3 linked regions of the Styela clava genome follow. The protein of the gene in region 1 purifies or fractionates together with the protein of each later gene. This does not show direct contact. Links are inferred from orthologs where the notes say so. Each region holds a gene or a part of one and is shown in the gene's direction. Other genes may lie near its edges.

Evidence for each region.
Region 2: the proteins of uncharacterized protein LOC120342376 (region 1) and ribosome biogenesis regulatory protein homolog purify together in Homo sapiens (affinity purification with mass spectrometry; 3 studies listed by BioGRID and IntAct, counting the BioPlex papers as one, with this or other methods). This does not show direct contact. The link is inferred for Styela clava from reciprocal best matches to the Homo sapiens genes NIFK and RRS1.
Region 3: the proteins of uncharacterized protein LOC120342376 (region 1) and pre-rRNA 2'-O-ribose RNA methyltransferase FTSJ3-like fractionate together in Homo sapiens (co-fractionation; 3 studies listed by BioGRID, with this or other methods). This does not show direct contact. The link is inferred for Styela clava from reciprocal best matches to the Homo sapiens genes NIFK and FTSJ3.

Annotation. Positions count from the first base shown.
Region 1 is NC_135252.1:14,885,934-14,893,430, reverse strand, and holds the start of uncharacterized protein LOC120342376, read left to right. Parts: upstream 1-4,412; 5' UTR 4,413-4,539; intron 4,540-5,073; exon of another isoform or gene 5,074-5,125; 5' UTR 5,126-5,141; coding exon 5,142-5,231; intron 5,232-5,556; coding exon 5,557-5,697; intron 5,698-5,771; coding exon 5,772-5,880; intron 5,881-6,003; coding exon 6,004-6,131; intron 6,132-6,287; coding exon 6,288-6,377; intron 6,378-6,611; coding exon 6,612-6,696; intron 6,697-6,977; coding exon 6,978-7,162; intron 7,163-7,497. Other genes in the region: ATP-dependent DNA helicase DDX11-like, read left to right, coding at 53-188, 288-320; cilia- and flagella-associated protein 410-like, read right to left, coding at 694-756, 898-1,138, 1,585-1,678, 1,743-1,910, 2,022-2,128, 2,327-2,452, 2,726-2,772, 3,110-3,128 and 1 more.
Region 2 is NC_135263.1:4,727,796-4,735,665, forward strand, and holds the start of ribosome biogenesis regulatory protein homolog, read left to right. Parts: upstream 1-4,766; 5' UTR 4,767-4,902; coding exon 4,903-5,066; intron 5,067-6,394; coding exon 6,395-6,467; intron 6,468-6,942; coding exon 6,943-6,981; intron 6,982-7,870. Other genes in the region: protein phosphatase 1 regulatory subunit 16A-like, read right to left, coding at 1,048-1,232, 1,752-1,816. UniProt on the Homo sapiens protein: Involved in ribosomal large subunit assembly. May regulate the localization of the 5S RNP/5S ribonucleoprotein particle to the nucleolus.
Region 3 is NC_135263.1:4,792,010-4,799,030, reverse strand, and holds the start of pre-rRNA 2'-O-ribose RNA methyltransferase FTSJ3-like, read left to right. Parts: upstream 1-4,018; 5' UTR 4,019-5,234; coding exon 5,235-7,021. Other genes in the region: small ribosomal subunit protein eS6-like, read left to right, coding at 2,835-3,590.

The DNA of each region.
Region 1 (7,497 bases):
ACCTAGAGAATCTTTAATGCAGACAGTATAGCACTGAAAACTTTTGTTTTAGAAATGACCATGCCTGCATTGTACTTGCCGATCATCGTTATGCAAAAATGAACATCAAATCCGAACTACCATCATGGATTTCTGACAAACTACAAGTTGCTGACAGATTTGGAATTGCATTCGGTGCTGTTCGAAAGGTATATTTCCAGCAATTTATGTATACTGCATTCATACAACCCTTTTATTACAATCAATCGAAGTCTCTCGTGATGATGAAAGTGTTTATTCTTTTGCAGTTTTTCATGGACAAGAAGACTGCAAGCAGATGAAATGATAGCGCAATTGATAAGAATGCTAAAAAGTATCGTAATCACAAATTACATTCCATTTTCAACATTCAACAGTACATCCCCCAATTTAAAATAGATATGCTTATTTATCATGATAGCTATGTTGTGTTCAATAACAGTTCCAGTCTACACCAATTATATTTACAGAGCAGATATTAAGTGACTACTGCATTTCGAAAGCAGCAAGTATCGTAGGAACGCAAATATTTTTGCACAGTGAGACAGACGGAACAATATAAAAATATATATGAATACACCTATAAGCTACAGTGAGGTTGTCATGATCTCCTTGCCTGCCTGAACAAGCAGTTTTTCCAATATAGAGCATGTCCGTAGATCGCAATTGATTATTTCAATCTGCAAGCATGGTTTCATGTGATGTATTCACCCCTTGTGTCATATCTTCATGGTTTTCCTGAACAAAAAAATTGACTTTTGGTGTTGTCCCATACAACTACTTTAAAATCATGTTGATTAGAGAGCTGTTTCAACTTCTTTTGCCCAGCAAGGGCACAGAATTCTAGACTATCATAGTCAATAAAAAAGCCTTCATTACCTCATGACTCATATTTTCTTCTCTGTGAATACTGTGCAATCTGTCTTGGATAGCATCTTGCAATGTTCGTAAGCTTTCTTCATCCAGTTCTTTTACCAATGACAATGTGGCAGAGAGAATGTTGATACTAGCTGTACTCTGTCCTAATGTTTCTCTTTGTGTATTTCGAGCTGTTGATTTACTTGTAACAATCTCTTGTTGTTGTGGTAATGGTCTCAATCCCAACTGTTTTCTCAGTTCACTGTCATTAATTAAGCGTTCATTCAAGTAGTCAGTATATGTTATCGGCTGTGTATCAAGTTTTTTCGACTAGGAAATATTTATCAACTTTCTAATATCCAAAAAAGATTTTTCACACGAACTAAATCTCGTATAATTTAATTAATAACCGGCAAAAACAAAATTTTGTTACAACTTTTGTGGGTGGGTTGGACTTTAAATTGTGTTGGCATCCTAGGTTCAAACCGGAAAATTTCGGTCATGCAAAAATTGTAGCTCATTGAATGTCATAGTATATTATGAGTGACTGCTTTTACTGGACTTGTTTAGAGTAAAAGGCATGAATATCTTCAACCAGCATCTCATCCTATGTTCCACCTCAACTATCATAGCGCATTACTATTTGATACAATACTCCTATTACGCTCTGGTATGGAAAGCAGACTAAGTTTTCCTTATTATACTAACTTTGTTTCATCCACTGGACAGTGATTATTTTCTTTGTTGTAGCCGGAATACTGATTTTCAGATGGTGAAAGTCTAGATTCTTCTGATTCTTTTTCTAAAAACATGTCATGGCGAGAACTGTTTGTAACATTAGATTCTCTTGCATAACAATAACTTACCTTGTTTATCAGATTCTGTATTTTCTTGATTGTCAATATTATTTACGAGGTAACAATTTACAGGAATAGCTTTATCTTTTGATTCATTTGTTTCTTCTGGGATGCTTTCTGGTTCCGTCAATTCATCACCTTCCTTTTTTGCTTTTTCTACCTCTTCAGCAGTGACAACTGCAAAGAAAAGTGACTGGATTTAAATTCTAGAACTGGTAAGCAGACAGGGGTTGTTTTTAACTGTATATAAAAATCAACCTCTGACAAGAATTAATAATGTGTCCTCACCTACATTGTCCAGCTTAGCAAGCATTGGCAGCACTTTTAAAACTGTTAGTCTGTATTTTGTATTACTGATGTCATCACAAAATGGGTTGTCCGAAAGCCAAAGAATCCTAAAAAAAAAGGCTAACTTAAGGTAAGCTTAGTACTATATATATTCATACATGGATCCTCTTTGTGCCCAATAAGTAAATAAAACATACAATTATCATTATTGTTTCTTTTAACATATTCTATTACATATATAATCCTATTTATTAGTATATGTATAATTGAGAAGGTTACATACAACTAATATTCAATAAAGATACCTTAATTCTGTTAGCTCTTTCAAATGGAGAACTTCATTCAAATTCTTTAAATTATTTTTCCTTAAATAGAGTTCTTTCAAATTGCAGCAATGCGATAAAGCTTGAAGGCTTTCAATGTTGTTTGCACTAAAAATAAAAAAAAGAATTTCAATCCACTATAAGATACTTAAATTGTTACACATTAATAACAGGAAATTTTTAAAAGTAAATAATTGAGATAAGTTTGTAACCATGCTTGAAAATAAGCGCCAACTTCCAATGAAATGGAAATCATGAGATCCAATGAATCCATCAAAATGAATCAATCCAATGAAATTTTTCGGATTGTAAAATATCTGCAGAAAAAATAAATACCGGTATGCGATATAAGCACAAAAATTTACGAGAAATGTAACTAACCTGGCGTTTATCACTTCAATGTTGTGCATTTTTCGAACAATTGTAATCTACAAAACATTAATAATGAGACAGTATAGCTATAAACTCCAATATAAAAAGACACTCAAGGTTCCATATGGATAGAAGTAAATAAAGCAAAGCATGCTTGGAAAAGTCAGTTTAGACGAGTTCAGTAAAATCTACAAAATTCTTCAAGAATCGATAACATCTAACAATTTTATGTATAATTCCACTAAGTAACTCTCACTATAAAAGATTCCGAAGATAATTCAAGTCAAATGGAACTAATCAAGACTATTTTACACTGGTATAAATGTGAAATATTTCGAGAGTGATAATAATGATTTATTTTATACACCTTACTAGGTATCATAAAATACTTACATCTGAAAGAGCACTGCCCCTGAAAAAGATAACATCAATTTAGCTATAAATCACTTTTGATTTGTGCAATGAGTTAAAACTTGTTTTTATTAGTACTGGTACAGTAGTATCTAAGGCTATAGAAATTTGAAACATTGCTATTCTATCCAGTATATTCAGCATCCAGTTTACAAAATTAATGAATGACTAGGGGCCTATACAGATTCTTACCAACAGTTTAGGTTCTTTACAGCACCCAAGCTTTTAGATCTTGCTCGTGCCAGCACTAGCTTTTCTGTGAGTTTTACCATATCTTTGTCATAAAGTAATCTTCTTATTAAAAAGATTGTGAAGCAACCTTGTTATTGATTGTATTTCTTCCAATTTTCCTCAGGTATTTTGGAAAAAAAATATTCTGATATTGGTGATACCGGTAGGCCTATTTATCAAAGTTAGTAATGAACTGAATAAAAAACAATAAAAAGTTGCCTATTTATTATACCAAATCCCGGTATCGTTAACTCCACCAGATCATAGGCTACTAGCGGCACCGGGTTCACCGGGAATTATGATTCCACAATGTGGATTACGGTACCCGGTACCGGTATGCAATAAATAAAAAACATAAAATAATAAATGAATAACAATGACCAAGTATACATAAATAACAAAACATTTCATTACAGTCAATTGATTGTATTTTCCATAGTTGAAATTAGTCACAGGTCACTATACAAGGCTACATCGCCGACCAGCGTACCTTGGTCCTTGGCTGCCTGGCTACTGGTAAATATAAATACAAAATCCCCAATGTTTGACTTGACCTTTGACACCGCGCCCTGTATTTTTTTTATGCAAACAGTGGTTGGGACTGGGTTTAAAATTTTTGCTAGTTTTTAAGCGCCAACTTCCAAAAACACTATTATAATAAGCACCAACAACTTTGCAAATATAGGATCAATTTTTCTGTGGTCGGAACTCGGAAAGCATCCTGAAGGTATATTTCCACACGGAGGCACTATTGAGCAAATGTACGCGTGTGGTTATTGTGGGTCCAGAGGAACTGCCATCGTTCAGCGAGCTTCGCCTTGCGCACTGAAGACGTGTAGCCTATTTCAATTAGTTTTGAACGCTTGGATTAGATCCATTACGGTTGTCCTGAAGCTAAGCTTTATGTAATTGCCATAGTATGCATAGACATATAAATTATGGGACCGTACAAGTACGGCGTCGGTAATTAGTTACCATACCAAACCCTTTTTTAGCTCACTCTGGTACCGTACCTTACCTCTGGTACCGTACTCTGGATATTGCATTTGGCTACTGTCAGACTGTGTGGTAAATTCAAATTTCAGATTGTCTGCATTTCTAGTAGTCTGAGTAGTGGTACCGTAACTTTTGTCAGTAAGCAACCGTCATCTTATTCAACGACTGAACGAGGAAATACCAAGGTACCGTACGCTGGTCGGCGATGTGACTAATTAACAGATTAAAGTTTCATTCAAATCAATTTCTTTTAACTTCCCCACCATCTTACGGTACCGGTACTTCTGTGTGGTGGTGTAGCCCACCGTGCTGAGCGTTAGGAAAACGCTCGCCACCGCACCTCTGAATTTTCTGCGTGGGTTAGCAGGTTCGAATCCCACGCAGGGATGGTTAAGTGCGAAAGGATTGCTGGATTCCTCGCCGCCGTAGAGTGGTTTATGTAACCGCAGGTCGGTTACGGCTTCCTTCATCAAGTCCATGCTTTCGAAAACAAATAGATTAACTAACTAATTCCATACCCGACATGAAATGGTAACCGGATGAGAGGCAGTGGTTCGCCATATGGCAGTGTGGTTAAGTGGTCTTATCAGCTTTCCTCTCCCCAGGATAAATATTTAAATCCTGTCGTAGTTATTAATAACCTAACCTTTGACTTAATGCAGTAACGCATGGCTGTGTGTATAAATGTGAAGATTTCACCAAACATTATTTTATTCTAATTCAATATCATAGAATTTCTTGATGTCTTCAGTTCAATAATTTATATGCTAGACCTGTAATCTGTAAAATGGGGAAGAAAACTCAAAGAACGCCAGAAGAACTCACACTTGAAAAAAAGAGAAATGAAGAATTCAAAGACAAGATTCGGGCAAGAAGAGTAAGTAACAACGCTTATAATATGATCATCATGACTGTGTGTGTAGAAGGTGATTTATACATGTAAAATGGGTTTTGAACATCCAATTCGAAATAAATCATGGATTAAACTTATGAATATGTTTAGATTAAATTAAAATAATGTGGTTAACTATTTAATTGTTGCCTCAATGAACTCATCAATCAAATCAAAATCACAGCAATAATTGGAGTCTCATTGTGTTGACAACTTATCTTCACAATGTTGACAACCATATTTCCATCAAAATTCAGGTCTGTTACACTCTAATACAATATTAATATCATTAACAATTTTCTCTTTGAAGGAAAAATTAGAAGCAAAAGGGAATCAACGGGGAGTTGTTCTTCTCAGTCATATTCCACTTGGGTTTTATGAACCACAAATGTATGAATATTTTTCTCAATTTGGAAGAGTTACAAGGTTAAAATTGATTCGGAGCAAAAAGGTTGGTCGTCAACTATTTTGTATATTTATTTTCATCTGTTCCAGGAAGTTATTTTTTATCACTGTTTGTTTCAGACTGGGAAGTCAAGACAGTTTGCTTTCATTGAATTTCAATTTGAAGAAGTTGCAAAAATTGCAGCTAAAACAATGAATAACTATTTAATGTTCCAAAAAATATTAAAATGTAAGTATACTTTATAGTATTATCAATTTTGCATTATCTTTAGTACCGGTATATCTCTATTTCACTGATTTTGGTAACCATGCTTAAAATTGTGTGAAAATCATATTTTGGTAAAAATTGCAGGCAGACTTATTCCTTTGGAAGAAGTGAAACCAAACACATTCAGTAACTGGAGGCTTATTAAGCGTGTACCTCAAAGTAGAACAAAAGATATCAAGAGACACAATCAAGATGTAACTGATCCTGAAAAGGTTTGATCAAACTTAATAGTCATCTTTGCCAAAATAAAATGCATGGTATTAAATTGCAGAAAACTGCTTCGAGATTTGCAATGAATTGGACTTTGACAGGTCCACATTGATTTTTAGTTTCGTTGACATTGTAATTCCTCACTGTTTTTTTTACAGATCCAGTTAAAATTAAAAAGGCTACGAAAAAGAAGAGGACTATTAAACAAAAAGCTTCGTGAGATGGATATAGACTATGATGTTATGAATGTAGGACAACAATGCCATTTTTATGATACTTGCTAAAATACCTTGTCCTCAAACTACAATCAGATTTCTTTTACTCAGCTTGTATTTGTGTATTGTAGTTCCGTATTGTGGATAACTTTTTAAAATTATAGATTTCTTCAACATGGTTTATATTACATCAGATCATGTAATGGTAAAGGTCTTATTTTCATTATCAATAGATATTATTTCAACTTGTTTGTATTTTATCTACAGATTAAAGTAAACGACTCATTTGTTTCCCCTGAAAGAACCCGTGCTTCTCCTGAAGAATTAGCAGATGTTTATGAGCCTATTCCAGGTACCATATATATTAAAATGATTGTATGCTGAGTGTTTTGTCTATTATTATAGTTAAAGCAAGGATACTCTAGCTTTGTAGGGTATAAATTGAGAAGGCATACGCTCAACTCAACGCTTCATCCATTACCTACAGAGCTGCTTCTTTATCATGTCGGCTCAAACTGCTTCAATGCTAGCGTCAACTGGCATTTAACAACATATTTCCTCATCTAAATATTAATATCCCAATTTCATATTTTCGAAACTTGCAGTAAAAATGATTTTTTTTCCAAAATTCAGATTCCATTGGAATGGAGTATCGGTATTCTGATGGTGAAGATTTTGATGGCAAACGCTCAAATACAAAGAAATTGGGAACTAATATAAAAAAGAAGGAAGAATCAAATGATAATAAAACTAGTGATACATCACTGGAGAATGGACCTAAAGTGCAGTCTACTGATACAAAAAGTTCAATGACCAAAGTATGCTGATTAACTTGAGTTGTTAATATTGTGCAGAATCATGGTTTCATAGGTCAAAAAGTATCGATTTATAAATATGTACATTATCAGTTTTGGCTTTTTTCAATATCTGAATATCTTATTTAGCTTTCAGGTTTCAAATGAGGATAATGATAATTGAAATTCTATAGTTGAACAAGATACGACTTGTATGTCATAGGTCAATGGGACAACTTCATCGTCTATTCTACAGCCTCTAGTCAACAGTCCATGTCTGATATGGGAATGAATAGTTACTTGAAAGTCACTGTAGACCCAATTATCTCGATGTTGCAAGTTACATGATGCTCATTAAG
Region 2 (7,870 bases), on another chromosome or scaffold:
CATGTCAGGTGTAATATATTGCCGAACCACACATGGACGACGACGCTAGGATATGTGCGCCATATTCGGGATTATTATAAACACGAAAAAACAGTATTTGAATTTAAATTCGATTTGGACATCCCTGCATTAAATTAGTCAGTTTTTAGTGGTGTTTCCAAAAATTAGTTGTAAATCAATTATTTTAATTGTCATTATGTCTTCCGGTGAGCTTCAGTTTAGTTTAGAATTTTTCCGGGGTTAGGGTCGGGAAAAGGTCCATTCGCAAGAAGTGCATTTTGTTTTTAGTGTTGACGAATTCACCCAACGAGCAAGGCGCGGCACGAGGGAAACACTGGAATTTATTCAAGCCGTGTTTCACTATCCACGAGGCGCAAAGCGAGGGAAACGTTGAAAATAATTAACAGCTTTTCGTTAGCAATTCGCTGGAATGTAATGAACGGCGTTTTGCTACCCACGAGGTGCAAGACATAGCGAAGCGCCGTTAATGAACGAGTGCAAGGTAAGCGAAAGGCTGGGATTTAATCGATGGCGTTTCCCTTTTAACCATGAGCAATTTATCGTGGTCAGCGGGGCGACACCTAGTGGCGTTGCGACTCACGTCGTGGTTGCACTGTGTAAATTCCGGTCGGACCCCCCCCCCGTTGAAAACAGCCTGGTTGCGCCACTGGGGACAAATACCAAATTTATGGTTCCAAAAGTATAGACATGCTGCGGGAGATAGAAAGCAGTATAGCGAAGGTACTTTATATAGGTTCGTATCAAATTGGGAAAAAAGTCACAATCATTTAAAGCCATTATTACACATGCAATATTATTTTCCCAAATCAGTTCATTATGTTTTGACTTTTAATATCACTCTTTTTTATTACTGGCTGGAAAAATAAACTCGACTAAATGCATGCCAACTGATCTTCCATTTCATTATATTTTCATTTTCAGCTTGCATGGTTAGGACTTTAATTTGATCCTTAATCAAACATCTTGTTAGTCTGTGTAATTTACATGCATGAAGTGGGAATTATTGCATAATACAAGGTGTTCTACCTTCATCTACATCGTCTCGAGCGGCAGCTTCAAGTAATGTAACACTATCTCCAAATTTAACTGATCTTTTGTTATCATTTGCTATTTGTCCGTTTGGTAATCCTGCCTTATCTTTTTCATATTCAAGCTCGGATTCTTTCCAACGCTGAAGTTGTTCTTGTCGACGTTGCCTTGCATGGATCAGCCTTGAAAATATATTTTTGTTAGAAATAATGTCAAATGCTGATAATATGACAAAAATATGCCAAAATAACTTTAGTGGAAAAGGAATTCCCCATGCAATAGCAGTTTTTCTGGTCGTATTGAATTGAACCCCTTCACATCTCACGCCAATGGCTAGCATCCAATGCGCTACCCCTATTTCAATATAGTTTTATTAGCTCTTTCAGTGGTGTGACCATAACTTTGTAGAGATGAGTCTCCTTGACTTTTGGCGGTTATGTGATCCACCTTACGGCGGCAAGGAGTTCAGCAATCTTCTTTTAATAATCATCCCCCACAAGATTCGAAAGTGCGAAGCAATGCAGAGTAATCAGAGGTGCGGTGGCGAGCATATTTCTAATGCTTATTACAATGAGTCACACTACCTGGCCGATAATGCTTTTCTCCAGATAGATATTTTGCTCATTATTTAAATATAATGCCATGGTTGCACACACAGAAAAATTAAATCCTCATTATATCAACACAAAAAACTTTTTTACCTGTCTTCAGTTGACATGCTGTTGACGTAATCAATTTCTGCAACAAGATTTGCATGGCTCACCATTTCTCAAAGTACATTCCAGAACGAAGGTTATAATTACCTGCCTAGGTAGCTAGATTGCATTGCTATTAAAGTATGATAATTCACCTAATCTATGCTGGAAAAATGAGGAAAACAGTTTCTGGTTTGCACGAACTAAAGTTAAAAGTAGGGCCCTGGATATAAAATACAGTAAGTAAATTAGATTTTCCGAAATGGATTGTCATAATACCATTTTAGGCATACAAAGCCTAAATTTGATCGAAATGTACTGAATACTTGAAATGACAAAGAGTAGAAATGAAAGTGACACACAATATGACATCCTATAAACTAAGAAATACTTGATGATATTCGTAATACAAAAATATATCAAAATATCTTTTTCTGTCTCTTTGAGTAATTATTATATTGACAAGAAGACAATTTCCCATTACTTAAAAAAATTGATGAATTAATACAACTCAGGACTCAACCATTCGAAATCAATGAAGCATAGCTCGCCAGAATAATACCATCTTAAATAATGTGTAGCAGAGCTGCATGGTTCCACTTCATTGACTACCACATTAAAATAAGATTCATACCAAACAGACTGGACTACAATAATGACAAAAATGACATTTTCCTCTAATCTGCACTTTCAAACTCATTTACTTAGAAGATACAAAACTGTTGCTTTTTATATCATGTGAAATATTCTAACTTATTCTTAGTAATACTAATACGTAGACTAATGTTTATTCCAATTTTTCTTCTGGGCCAATCGTTTCTAGATAATCGATTCTTAATCATTAAGCAACAAGTCTAGAAAATATCTCTAGAGACAAATTAGAAGGGAATAGATGCATCAATAAAAACCTTGCTCAGCTGAAAACGACCTAAGGGAACTGAATGCAATTTGGTAATTTCTCCGAGATGATTAAACCATACTATTAAATAGTAATTTAAACTGTAAGTGTTATTGAATACTACATTTATTAAACGTTTAAGAATATTAAAATTCAGTTGAAATGGAATATATTGGGTCATACTCATACCCCTAGGATTTGGTATGAAAAATCGTGAAAAATGAATATAATTTGAAAAGTTCCTTTAAGAAATAGAATAAACTAAAGTATCAGTTGTAAATGTTGCAAGTGTTTCAAATTTCTAGTTGCAATACTCTATGAATAACCCACAATAGATATTTTCACTCTTGTTTCAGCATACATGGATAATACAGATTGACCGCCTCTAGGGCATAGAAAAAGGATAATTAGTTGAATTAAAAAAAAACGATTATCAGCATAAAATATTGTTTGAACCCGCCAACCTGAGCAAGCGCGCACCTAATGCTACTATCTAATAGAAACCAGATAAAACTTCTTTGCACACAACACAGTTCCAGAAAATCTATTTTCTTCCATGCGTAAGTTACAAATGCATTGTATTGAAATCTAAACTTTGTAGCGTAATTACCCTCTTAACAAGAATACTTTGCGGTTTAAATTGATTTATATGCATAACTGAACAACAAAAGTCTATCATGTTACTTCACATTACGTTCACTCCAATGCTTATGAGCTATTGATTATAGATCAAGTATTTGAAAGGTGAGACAGTTGACGAGACTTGAAGTGCGCATTCTAGGATATTTATTTATTTTTTATTATTTATATGAGTTAAGTTTATTTCGGCTCCATAATCAGCATAACAAATGATAAGATAATTAATTGATAACTGATTATAAAACCAGGATAGCAAACAAAACCTTAGGTAATGTTCAAAGCGTACAAAATATAAGTTGAAAGGTTTTGCCAAAGACAAGCGGAATTGATTTTTAAATTTATTTTAAAAGTCAGAATGATTAATTCAAAATAAATAAAAATATTGCAAAAAGATTTAATATAGACATTTTGTAATATATGGATATTGATCTAAAAATCAATTTAGGCCATTAATCATGTAATCCTAAAAAAATGCTTAAATGGCTTCAATTAGACTACATTGGAAAGAACTAAGCGGTATCTTTTCAATGATAAAAACTGCCTAGGACGCAATCCTTTTAGTCTAAGACCTGAAAACGAAATGCAATATCTGAATATTAGGCAATATCTTTTGGGATACAGAAATAGATTTAAGGTTAATTAAGACTAACAAAATTGTTATAAATAATATTATTTATATAATTATTTATAAATTTTTATTTTCTGTCTTTGTTATCTTCTCAAGTTGATTAGACCTAAGGTTTGAATACAAATTTTTTTAAAGTGCCGTCATCGTCTTAATGATTCACAATTTCGTTAATAAATTCTGCGATCTCAAGTCCAATTTGGTTTTCAAATCCACTAAACCAGTGAACACTCAAGCTTAGCACTGCGAGCATAGCATTCTGATGAATTGCAATATAAACTTCTCAACCCTAATTTAAAATCTAGTAACGAAAACGTGTTCTCTAAAAATTATATAACTTTCAAAAACAGGTCGTGACGAGATGCACCAAGCCATCGACCAAGCCGCTAGCAAACAGATTAGCAAGTGCGGCGTTGCAAAGCGAGCAACTCTCACGAAATGAGAACGAAGAGACAAAATTTTGGCATAAACCACATCCGCGAGATGACGCCCATGGGTATTTATGAAAGAGCCATAAAATTTGTTTTGTGGTGCAAAATTTTAAAACTATTTAAACCCATTTTTTTAACTTTCTAGTTATCGAAAAAAATGAAGTATTGCGAAAACTGTACAATTAGAACGTAAAAATTTGTAAAAAATCTGTTAAAAGTAAAACTAATTGTCGGACAAAAGATACGCATCGGTGGTCATAATTGTAGCATGTAATTTTGATAGTTGTCAGATATACAGAAATTTAAATTTTTTAAATTTGCAATTAAGTAACAAATCCCCAACAGACTTGCATAAAATTGATGTTTCCATAATTGTATTTTTTTTTTTTTAATTTTGGAAACTTATCAAAAATTTATAATGTTACTTTTAGTAAAAATTTTGCAAGGATGTCAAATGTGATTTACTCCAATCTGGTAACCCTTCCCTAAATCGACAAAGTTTTAATATCTGTCTTGCTAAATTTCGCCGTTTTTTCGTCATTTTGTGATTCAATTTTACACAAAATGGAGGAAGTTGCTGCGGATGCGTCACAACTATTAAAAAATATAACTGAAGAGGAGAAAGAAAAATTAAAATCTATCACTGTTGAGAAAGATATTGACCTCGAATTCGACCTGGGAAATCTTATTGCAACGGACTCCAATTTACTGGATTCACAAGCTTTCAAGTAAGATACATCTAATATTATACTGCTGTATTAGTGAACAAGTTTTAAAGTAAACAGTATATGGAAGAACAATTTTGTTTCTTTACTTTTTTTGCTGTTGATTCTCAATACCAGATTTTTCTTGTACTGGTATAATCAAGTTATATTAAACTTATACTTACAAATAACTGATAAACTACATACCTATCTATTTAAGTATACGTTTATTTCGACTCCATAATCAGCATAACAATAAAATGATTGGTAAAAAAAATGATGATTATGAAATCAGGAGAGCAAACAAAACCTTAGATAAGGTTTAAAACGTACAGAATGTATACAAGATGGAAGGTTTTGCCAAGAAAAAGTGGTACGTGTTCACTTACCTAAAATAATGGGAATATTTCACACACGCTCACACGCACCCACACTCACAACCATACAGAAGTTATAAATTACATACGGGTAATTTAAAAAAATAAATAAAAATTACTTGCCACACCATATTAATAAATTTATAACGTTTGCCACTGCCGAATTGATAGATTTTATAAATGGGAGTGAACAGTAGAGATGAACTTTTATGAAAAATGTATTGCCAAGCAGATTATAGTTATGGAATTACTCAATCTCATTCCAGGAATTTACTGTCTAAGTTGCACGTTTTTCTCTTTTTGAGGATAGTTGCATTTTTATACCATTTGCTAGCTCAGTAACTTGTCAAATTTGCATCATGAATTGATCTTTTGTACAATAAACAAAATGGAATCGTCAGCATAATAAATCTCGCAAAATGACCTTGGGTCTAGTGTAGTTTAGTGCCTCTTTAGTACTTCTAGTGGACGTGGAATAACTATTTTTGCATATTTTATTCCCAACACTACCCGACGACAAAGCTTTCTCGGTTTAGGGTAAGCATCTACACGGTGGGAATAACTGTTCGTGTATTTTTCCGTGTCTTAACGTGTTACAGTGAAGTCATCATGGTGACATAATTTTTGGATGACGTAGTCAAATGGGGGGTAGGAATTACATATGCAAAAATTGTTGAACTAATCCCTTGTACTATACCAGACCCACCTGCTCAACTTAATTAAAATAAATTGGTTTAGAATGCTATTTGGCTCTAAACAACCCCAGCATCATTTTCATATAAAATTTTTGAGCCATGTTTACAAGCCGCCACTTTTTAGTGTTTCCCAATTCTAATCAGCTCCCTTGGCACTGGTCCTTTGCATAATCGCACATTCCGTTCGCATCAACTGGCCATATAAGGGAACGGTGTTTACTGAATGTGTGCCTAGTTTTTGTAGTCATACAAATTATCAGTTTTCAATCATTTTTTTCAGGCAAAATTCAGAAGACTACATCAAGAAACTAACAAGAGACAACACACAATTGCTATTTAATGAAATATGGAAAGTGAGAAAGTTGTTTTTGTTTTAATATTTGCAACAGAGAATTGGCAATACTAAATAATTATTATACTTGAATGATTTTGAATTGGGTAATCAAGTCCATGCATCCGAAAACGAATAACTGACTAACTAAACTATTCCCATACCCGACATGGACTGGTAACCGGACGGAAGGGTGTGGTTCACCATATGATTAAGCTGTGTTATAAATATATAAATCCTCCCCTATCCTATTGATTTTATTGAGAAAAGAAATCACTGTTGTGGAGTCTGGTCCTGGTGATATAAAATCGGACTCTTAGTAATGTGATTTGGGTTCTGACATATCAGAATTTGATTCTTTTATGGTCATCTTTAATCTGTAGTGTAAAAAGTTTCAATCTCGTCTTTTAACCTGAATATCAATGAAGGATAAATGGCAACATTAGTGCTTCATTGATAATGTTGTAAAATTAATAATTGCTATTTTTGTTTTACAGTTACCAGTTGAACGAGTACAAGAAGCCATAGTTGCCAAGGTATAATGTAAAAAATAATTATTTGTTATGGGCATTCCCGTAGCATGTGTACCAGGTTAGGGTTAGGCCATAATTTTATTCTGATTTTTCTTATTTTAGTTCTTTTACGAGTTCAGGACTGTCCGTGTGAGACAAGTAGATATACCCCCTGCCCATAGGTTTCAGTCCCTTTACACAACTTGATGTAAAGTAGGCAAACAAAATTAGTTACCTCCATATTGGTACACACACTTCTAGATGCACTATACTCTCATGATTAATTTAAATCTAACCTTGAGTTTACAATCTTGTTTGAAAATCAAATGAGACGTTTTGCTCAGAACAGGGCTGTAAACAGGTTGCAATTCAAACTCAGATCAATTGAATTTTGATTATGTTTGCATAAGGATCAGTGGTGAGCTGCAGCCGAAACGCACCGGTAGGCTACCTAGTTTTGGTTGTTAAACATTTAATGGCATTTGCGCTCCTGTTGTTGGAATAAAATTATGTCATGGGGAGTCCCGTTTAACTTAGTTAATAACTGTACGGTTTGTTACGGTCATAGTACGTTTTCACAAGTTAGGTACATACTGGTTGTTACAATTTTTCCATCTCATCACTGATAAGGATGCCAATATCAGTTATGGCTATTAGTCATTTGTATTAATAAAGCCATTGTCCGCTTGTCAATGATCATTTTGTATGTAAAAACTTCTGCTTTGTAGAGTTTCCACTTAGTTATTTTTCTGACAGGGATAACTTGAATTGTTTCAAGTTTTTTCAACTGTCATCTATTAATAATTGCAGAGATAACCTTGTATAAAGCTCTTAAAACTTCTTTTTAGCACACTTTATACTAGAGCAGGAGTGTGCAACAGGCAGCCCGTGGGCCACAACCCGGGCCGCCAAG
Region 3 (7,021 bases), on another chromosome or scaffold:
AGAAGCCTATTTGTCCCTCATGAGTCATGACGTCTTCCATTTAATACACAATTATCATGAAAATATTATTATTGCATTAGAAGTCATGACTCATGGTCTGTGATCGGTTTTCAATGATTTTAAAGTCGACGTCAAGAGAGAACTTTTTTAAGTTGGGAGTCTGAATTTCAGACTTCTAATGGTGAAATCAGGATCAAAATTTCCAGCGGGAACTAAAATAGCAGTCTCGACCGGCAATTGAAGAAGGCTTGAATGAAAAACAGTTTTTTGGGTTAAAATTTCTTAGAGTTGGGGGGTGGGGTCACCTGTGAGAAAAAAAAAATCAGCATTTCGGGTATGGTTGAATTTTACTTCGCAGCCCTAAAAGTGTAGTTAAACTATATAAAACAAACTGTTATTTGCAAATTGAATAAAACCTGATTATAATGACTGTTATTTCATATTTCACTAAATATTGTCAGGTAATAGGAATTACGAGAATTAGTATGAATATTATACCGAGCTTGTAATATTTTGAGGCGAATAAACACATTCAACACTAGAAAACTTCAAATGAACGAGATGCATTAATAAAAATGGGGTAGTGATTTATTTAATATTATTTTCCTAGAAGCATAATGACTAACAAACAATAAAACGCAATTCATTGTAAATTCCCCCCGTCAGAAAATTCAGCATACATTTATTCTGTCATGGGAGTCTTGTGTAGATATGTACTAACTAATTAGATATCATTAATATCTTTCCGATTTGTACCGTAATAAAATCTCTACAATCTAACGACAAACTCTACGACTAAAAAACAACAGCCGACAGCAAACCAGACAAACAATTGCAATGTCAGTATGTCTCAATAATGCTGGGTCAATTGTTTCCACTACGCCCCTAAAAGAATGTTTCTCATCAGTCCGTACAAGCGATGAGCATATATGCTCATTGGGTATAAGATATCTCCAACAAAATAATTCTCGCTAAGAACGTGACTAACTCCACTACTGGCTCATTGCTAACCGGTCATGCCTAGTCAGTGCTAATTTTATAGGTACTTCAGAATCCGGATAATCATAAAGTTAGCACAGCGAGCAAAAATAGTTTTGGCAAAACAATCATCAATCAATACCCAGACCAGAGTCAGAAGGTCTACAGGCATTGGTACCTTTCTCGAAATCTTATTAATGTGAGGCCTGGTCTTCAATATTGATAACTACAAAAAAGAAATATCGAAGTAGTCTGGACGGGAACAGTTAATGGCCAGCAAACAAATACAGATATCGCATCAAATAGCATCACTTTCGTTTTTTAGTATATTGTCAACATAAATTTCCTAATGTGTATAATTTATTGCATAGGCTTAGTCAGTTTGTATAAAGATGGTCCGCAAAAATTTTGGTCAGGCTTTACCGGTCTGTCACTTGAAAAAGGTTGCCAACCACTGCTCTAGGTAGCTCTTGACACTCTAGTGGTCGCCCGTAACCTCATACAGAGATCAATCTCCTTTATTTTTGAGTGAGTTCGTGATCTCGCTTTAAGCAAATTCGATTAAAAAATATACATATACTATATACAAACATTAAAAAAACCTGTTGAAAATATGTTCATTCATTCCACAGGTTTAGTAGATGCAGGTGGCTTATTTTTGTGAGAAAGTGCAACTTTTAAAAATGGAAAATGAAATGATGGACTCCACTTTCATCAATAACTTTATTTCCCGTATTTTTATTATTTCTGCAATTGTGTTTATTTCACCTTTTTAAATTTTGATTTTGTATGACAAACATGGACCACCTTCAGTATCAGTACAGTAATTCAAACTTTTTTATTATTGCACCAATACCGTACTTCACTATTTCTGTATTTACAAAAAGGATGCAGAAATCAAATTGCGTATTTCTGTACTGGTGTTTGTACAGTTGTATATTCATCACGCAATTATTCTGTCAGTCTGTTATTACTTTCATTATTAAAATATTTTATTACACATTAGAATAATATGACAACATACAGACATATTGAAATACGCAATCAATCATAACTATGGAATTCTGTAATTGCAAAACGGAAAAATCTTGCACCTAGGCAACTGTCGCAGATAAAAACTCGAAAATTTTGACACAAAATCATCCTCACCTTTCAAAACGCGTCCATAATTATTGTCCAGTATCTCGTTATACCACTCGTAAAATTTTATCCACGCCCGACCGTTATTACCTTGTATTTACCCCAAACATTATTTGCTTAAACATTGCTTTGACAAGCAATCGGGTTTGGGAATTCGAGTTGAGCGCCACTCGAGGTACGTCATGCGTAACAAATCCGTTAGTGACGTTTTCACGCAAACCAAATTTACGTCGCCATGCTTGAATGATTGCGTCAGTTTCACAGCGTTCTCATGTGGCGACGTGAGATATAAACAGATGCCAGATTTTAGATTCAAAAAAATTATTTGTTTTTACGAAATAGAACTGTTCTACACTGATAAATTATGAAATTTCTGATCATGTATCAAATTAAAACATAACAAAAATTTATTACACAGGTTTTAAATTAATACTGTCAAAAATTTGTCTTTGGACGTTTATGGGAAGAATTTGATAATGCTAAATTAACGATATGTAAGTATATGAATGGTCTGAAAAGTTTATCAAATAATAATTTTAAAACAATTGTAAAATTTGATTAACCGTTTGTAGTGCGAACTTATTCTTTCGGATGCACAAAAAGAAGAGCCCACCTGACTGGGTAGCCAAAGTACAATGATAAAATCTGGTAACGGCAAAATCATCACCAGGCGGTCTTTTTCAGCTGGGCCCGTATAGGTTTCGCCTCTTTTTGCCATGAAGCTGAACGTTTCTTACCCCGCAACGGGGTGCCAGAAGCTTATTGAGATAGACGATGAGTTAAAATTACGTGCCTTTTATGATCGTCGTATGGGTCAAGACGTTTCCGCCGAATCTTTGGGAGATGAGTGGAAAGGATACATCGTAAAGATCGGGGGTGGTAACGATAAGCAAGGTTTCCCCATGAAACAGGGTGTTCTTACTGCTGGTCGAGTTCAATTGCTCCTTTCTAAAGGTCATAAATGCTACAGGCCCCGCCGTACTGGCGAGAGAAAACGTAAATCTGTTCGTGGATGTATTGTTGATGCGAATCTCAGCGTTTTACACTTGATCATTGTCAAGAAAGGAGATAATGAACTCCCTGGATTAACTGACAAATCAATCCCAAAACGTCTTGGACCTAAGCGTGCAAGCAAGATCAGAAAGCTCTTCAATTTGTCTAGAGAAGATGACGTTCGTCAATATGTTGTCAGACGTCCCGTTCCCGCGAAAGAAGGAAAAGAGCAGAAAAAACCAAGATACAAGGCCCCTAAAATTCAGCGATTAATCACACCGCAAGTTCTCCAGAGAAAGAGACACAGGGAAACCATGAAACGCAGACGTGCAGAAAAGGCAAAGAAAGAAGAGACTGAGTACAAAAAAGTGTTGGCGAAGAGAGCCAAAGAATTGAAAGAAAAGAAACAAGAGGCCCAAAAGCGTCGAAGACTTTCGAGTTTGCGAGCATCTCAGTCACAATCTCAATCGTCACAGTAATTTGACTTATTGTTGATGGTTATATTGCGCAATATATTGTTCGGTAGAAATGATAATTTACCGCAATACATAAAACCTAAATAATTTTGGTTTCTATTTGTTATCTATTATGGTTATGGTCAGAGTTTTATCTGTGTGTGGGATTTTGTCGCAAACACCAATGAGGTGTATATACTGTATGCGGTATTTGACGGTTTACAATTCTATAGATTTTGACGTGAAAGATTTCCTCGCTTTAGTGATATAGCTAAATAGTTCAAAGTTTCCTTTCGGCATGCCTCATGATTGAAGCCGAATCGTTTTTTTTTTTTTGAATTTGTCTCCGGCATCATTGGTGTCTCGTTTGCTCTTTTCAACCAGCTATTGCTTGTTTGTTACATATGAGCAAAAGCTTAGACTTGATTTGTAGTGAATGAGATTGCCAACTTTCATCTGCCTTTTTTAATATCAGAAATCTTGCTAGGAAATGGGTTTCAGTGCGTAATGAGTCAGGGTGGTCAACACATGGGCATTCGCAGAAAGTAAAATAATGAATTGATATCAACCAATATCCCTGATGATTTAGTTTATTCTCCATGCGGGATTAATGCTTTGAAATATATAATTTGAATTTGCACTGTAGAATAGGTGTCGATTTGAGCATAAAGTTGAACCAAATAAACAGGATAACTAATTTTCATTTACTTGGCTCCATTTAAATTTGACTTGATTCCAACTAATTGCAGTTCAAATTCACCAATTAAATTGTTTGTTTTTCAAAACAATCGATCAAGTTACAAAACAAAGTCTGCGAGTGCCCATGTGAGCAGGTTTTCCAAAATTATGAAGAATTTTAGTAAGAATATATGTAGACAAGATGGTACCACATTTTTAAATCCTTATAAAATTGAGAAACTTGAAGTATCTGTTTCTAACTCGCTCGGCATCGCGTAACTGATATATTATTTTTGTTAACGTTGGCATTATTTTCACAAGCAGCAAGTATCCTGCTGTCTGAAGCGCATTGTGTTTGTATATTTATCGAGTTCTTGGTTGTTATAAATATTAATGATAAAGGAAAATATTGCACTAGTTTTTAGGAATCTTACACTGAAATGTCCAACACTTAACTAAATACATATTAGCCATGTTGTTATATGAATAAATTGCGATCTGATGGTACGATAATAGTCTGGCTTCCTTAAATGCCAATTTTAATTTCATATAAATATGCACAAATTTTGCTGTGGATATTCGAAATTATTATTTTGGTTTATTTGGAATACGAAACACCACATAGTTTTGGCTATTCCCTGTCCTGCCGAAATAGTATTTCATAAAGTATAAATATTTTTCAGAGCTTTGTAACACAATCTACCCTTCAGCCTAATGTGTAGCAAATTCTGTTGTATTAGAAAGCGATAGCCGTAGTAGCAATCAGGGCTATCTCGTATCAATGGAGCCATTGTGATTTGTGCAAGCTCCCCCGCTCTGGTAACATTTTGGTAGTTTTCTCAAGTAGACCATTGTCATTAGATTTTTTAGCACAGCTCTTTCAAATAATATCACTCGTGGTCGTTACTGCATAATATTTTAGTCTTACGTTCATTCGAAAAATCATTTTTGTAAATACTTTCAGATAATTATTATTAAAACAATCATACAATGGGTAAAAAGACCAAAGCCAAGAAGCGCAAGGATAAATTCTATCATTTAGCAAAGGAGACTGGATACAGAGCTCGTTCTGCTTTCAAACTTTTGCAACTGAATAAGAAATTCAGCTTTTTACAAACCTCCAAAGTCCTGATTGACTTGTGTGCTGCACCAGGAGGATGGCTTCAAGTTGCATCACAGTATATGCCAGTTTCAAGTTTAATTCTTGGAGTCGATTTAGTTCCAATTAAGCCTATTCCAAATTGTATAACATTCACTGAGGATATTACCACTGAAAAATGCAAATCACAACTCCGAAAGGAACTTCATAATTGGAAAGCTGATTCGGTTATTCACGACGGAGCGCCCAATGTTGGTAAAAACTGGCTTCATGATGCATTCTCCCAATCTGTTTTGACTCTTCACGCATTGAAATTAGCGTGCGATTTCCTCCGCAAGGGAGGTTGGTTTGTGACCAAAGTTTTCCGTTCAAAAGATTATCAATCATTAATGTGGATTTTTAATCAACTTTTCAAAAAAGTTCATGCAACGAAACCACAAGCTTCTCGAAATGAATCTGCTGAAATTTTCGTTGTTTGTCAAGGCTACAAAGCGCCAGATAAAATCGACAAAAAATTCTTCGATGCGAAACATGTATTTCAAGAACTTACACCTGGTGATGACCAAATTACGATGGCAGACTTTGGAAATAAAAAATTGTTGAAAAAAGCGAAAGCAGTTGGGTATAAAGATGACGCTACAATGTTATATGAAGAATGTACAGTATCTGAATTCCTTGCTTCTGATAAACCATTGCACATCCTGAAACAAAGCAACAAGCTTGTATTTGATGATGAAGAAATTTTTGGGCATGTCTTTACAACAGATGATATTGTCGATGCGTGTAAAGATTTGAAGGTCATCGGTAAACGTGAATTTCGAATTCTCGTAAACTGGCATAAAAAGATGAATAAAAAAAGAGAGCAAGAGTCTGAAAAAGGTGAAAAAGAAAACGAAGAATTAGACGAGGGATCATCATCTGACAGTGATGCAGAGATTGAGAAAAAGTTATCCGAAATGAAAGAGGATGAAGCGAAACAACTCAAAAGAAAAAAGAAAGTTGTTACTAAGGAACGGCGAAAGTTACGTGAACGCATGGGTCATATGGCGCAATCGACGAACACTCAAGAAGACATGGAATTGTTCTCTTTGCATAATATAAAGTCTAACAAGCATTTGGAGACGCTTACTGAAGATGACAGTATGAAAATTCATGACAAAGAAAGAAATGAATATGAAGATGGATACGAATCCGATGATGAAGTCAGTGAAATTGAATTTGAAGACAATCAGGAATCAGATGGGGAAAATTCTTCAGATGAAGAAAAACAAGAAGAGAGCCCGCATCCACTTATTGTACCACTAGGTGAGGACGAACTCGCTTCTGAGCGACAAACCGACCTCTGGTTTAGTAAAGATATCTTTGCTGATATTAAATTAGATGCCAAAAGAGTACCTCCCAAACCGAAGAATAAAAAGGAGGAAAAGATTCCAGAAAGGGATGAAATTAAAGAATCTTCCAAGGAGGAAGTTAAAATGGAAGTTGGAATGAAACATCCTCATGATCCTAAAATAGAAGAAGATGAGGACAGTGGTTCGAGTAGCGATAGTGATTACGACATCAACATGGCAGCTGATCCTGAGGACCAGAACCCCAACTTGAAAGATTTTGAAGTTGTGCCATCTGATTATCGGGGTGCGACTGGAAAGTTAGACGCATCAGGGCTTGCCCTCGGAAC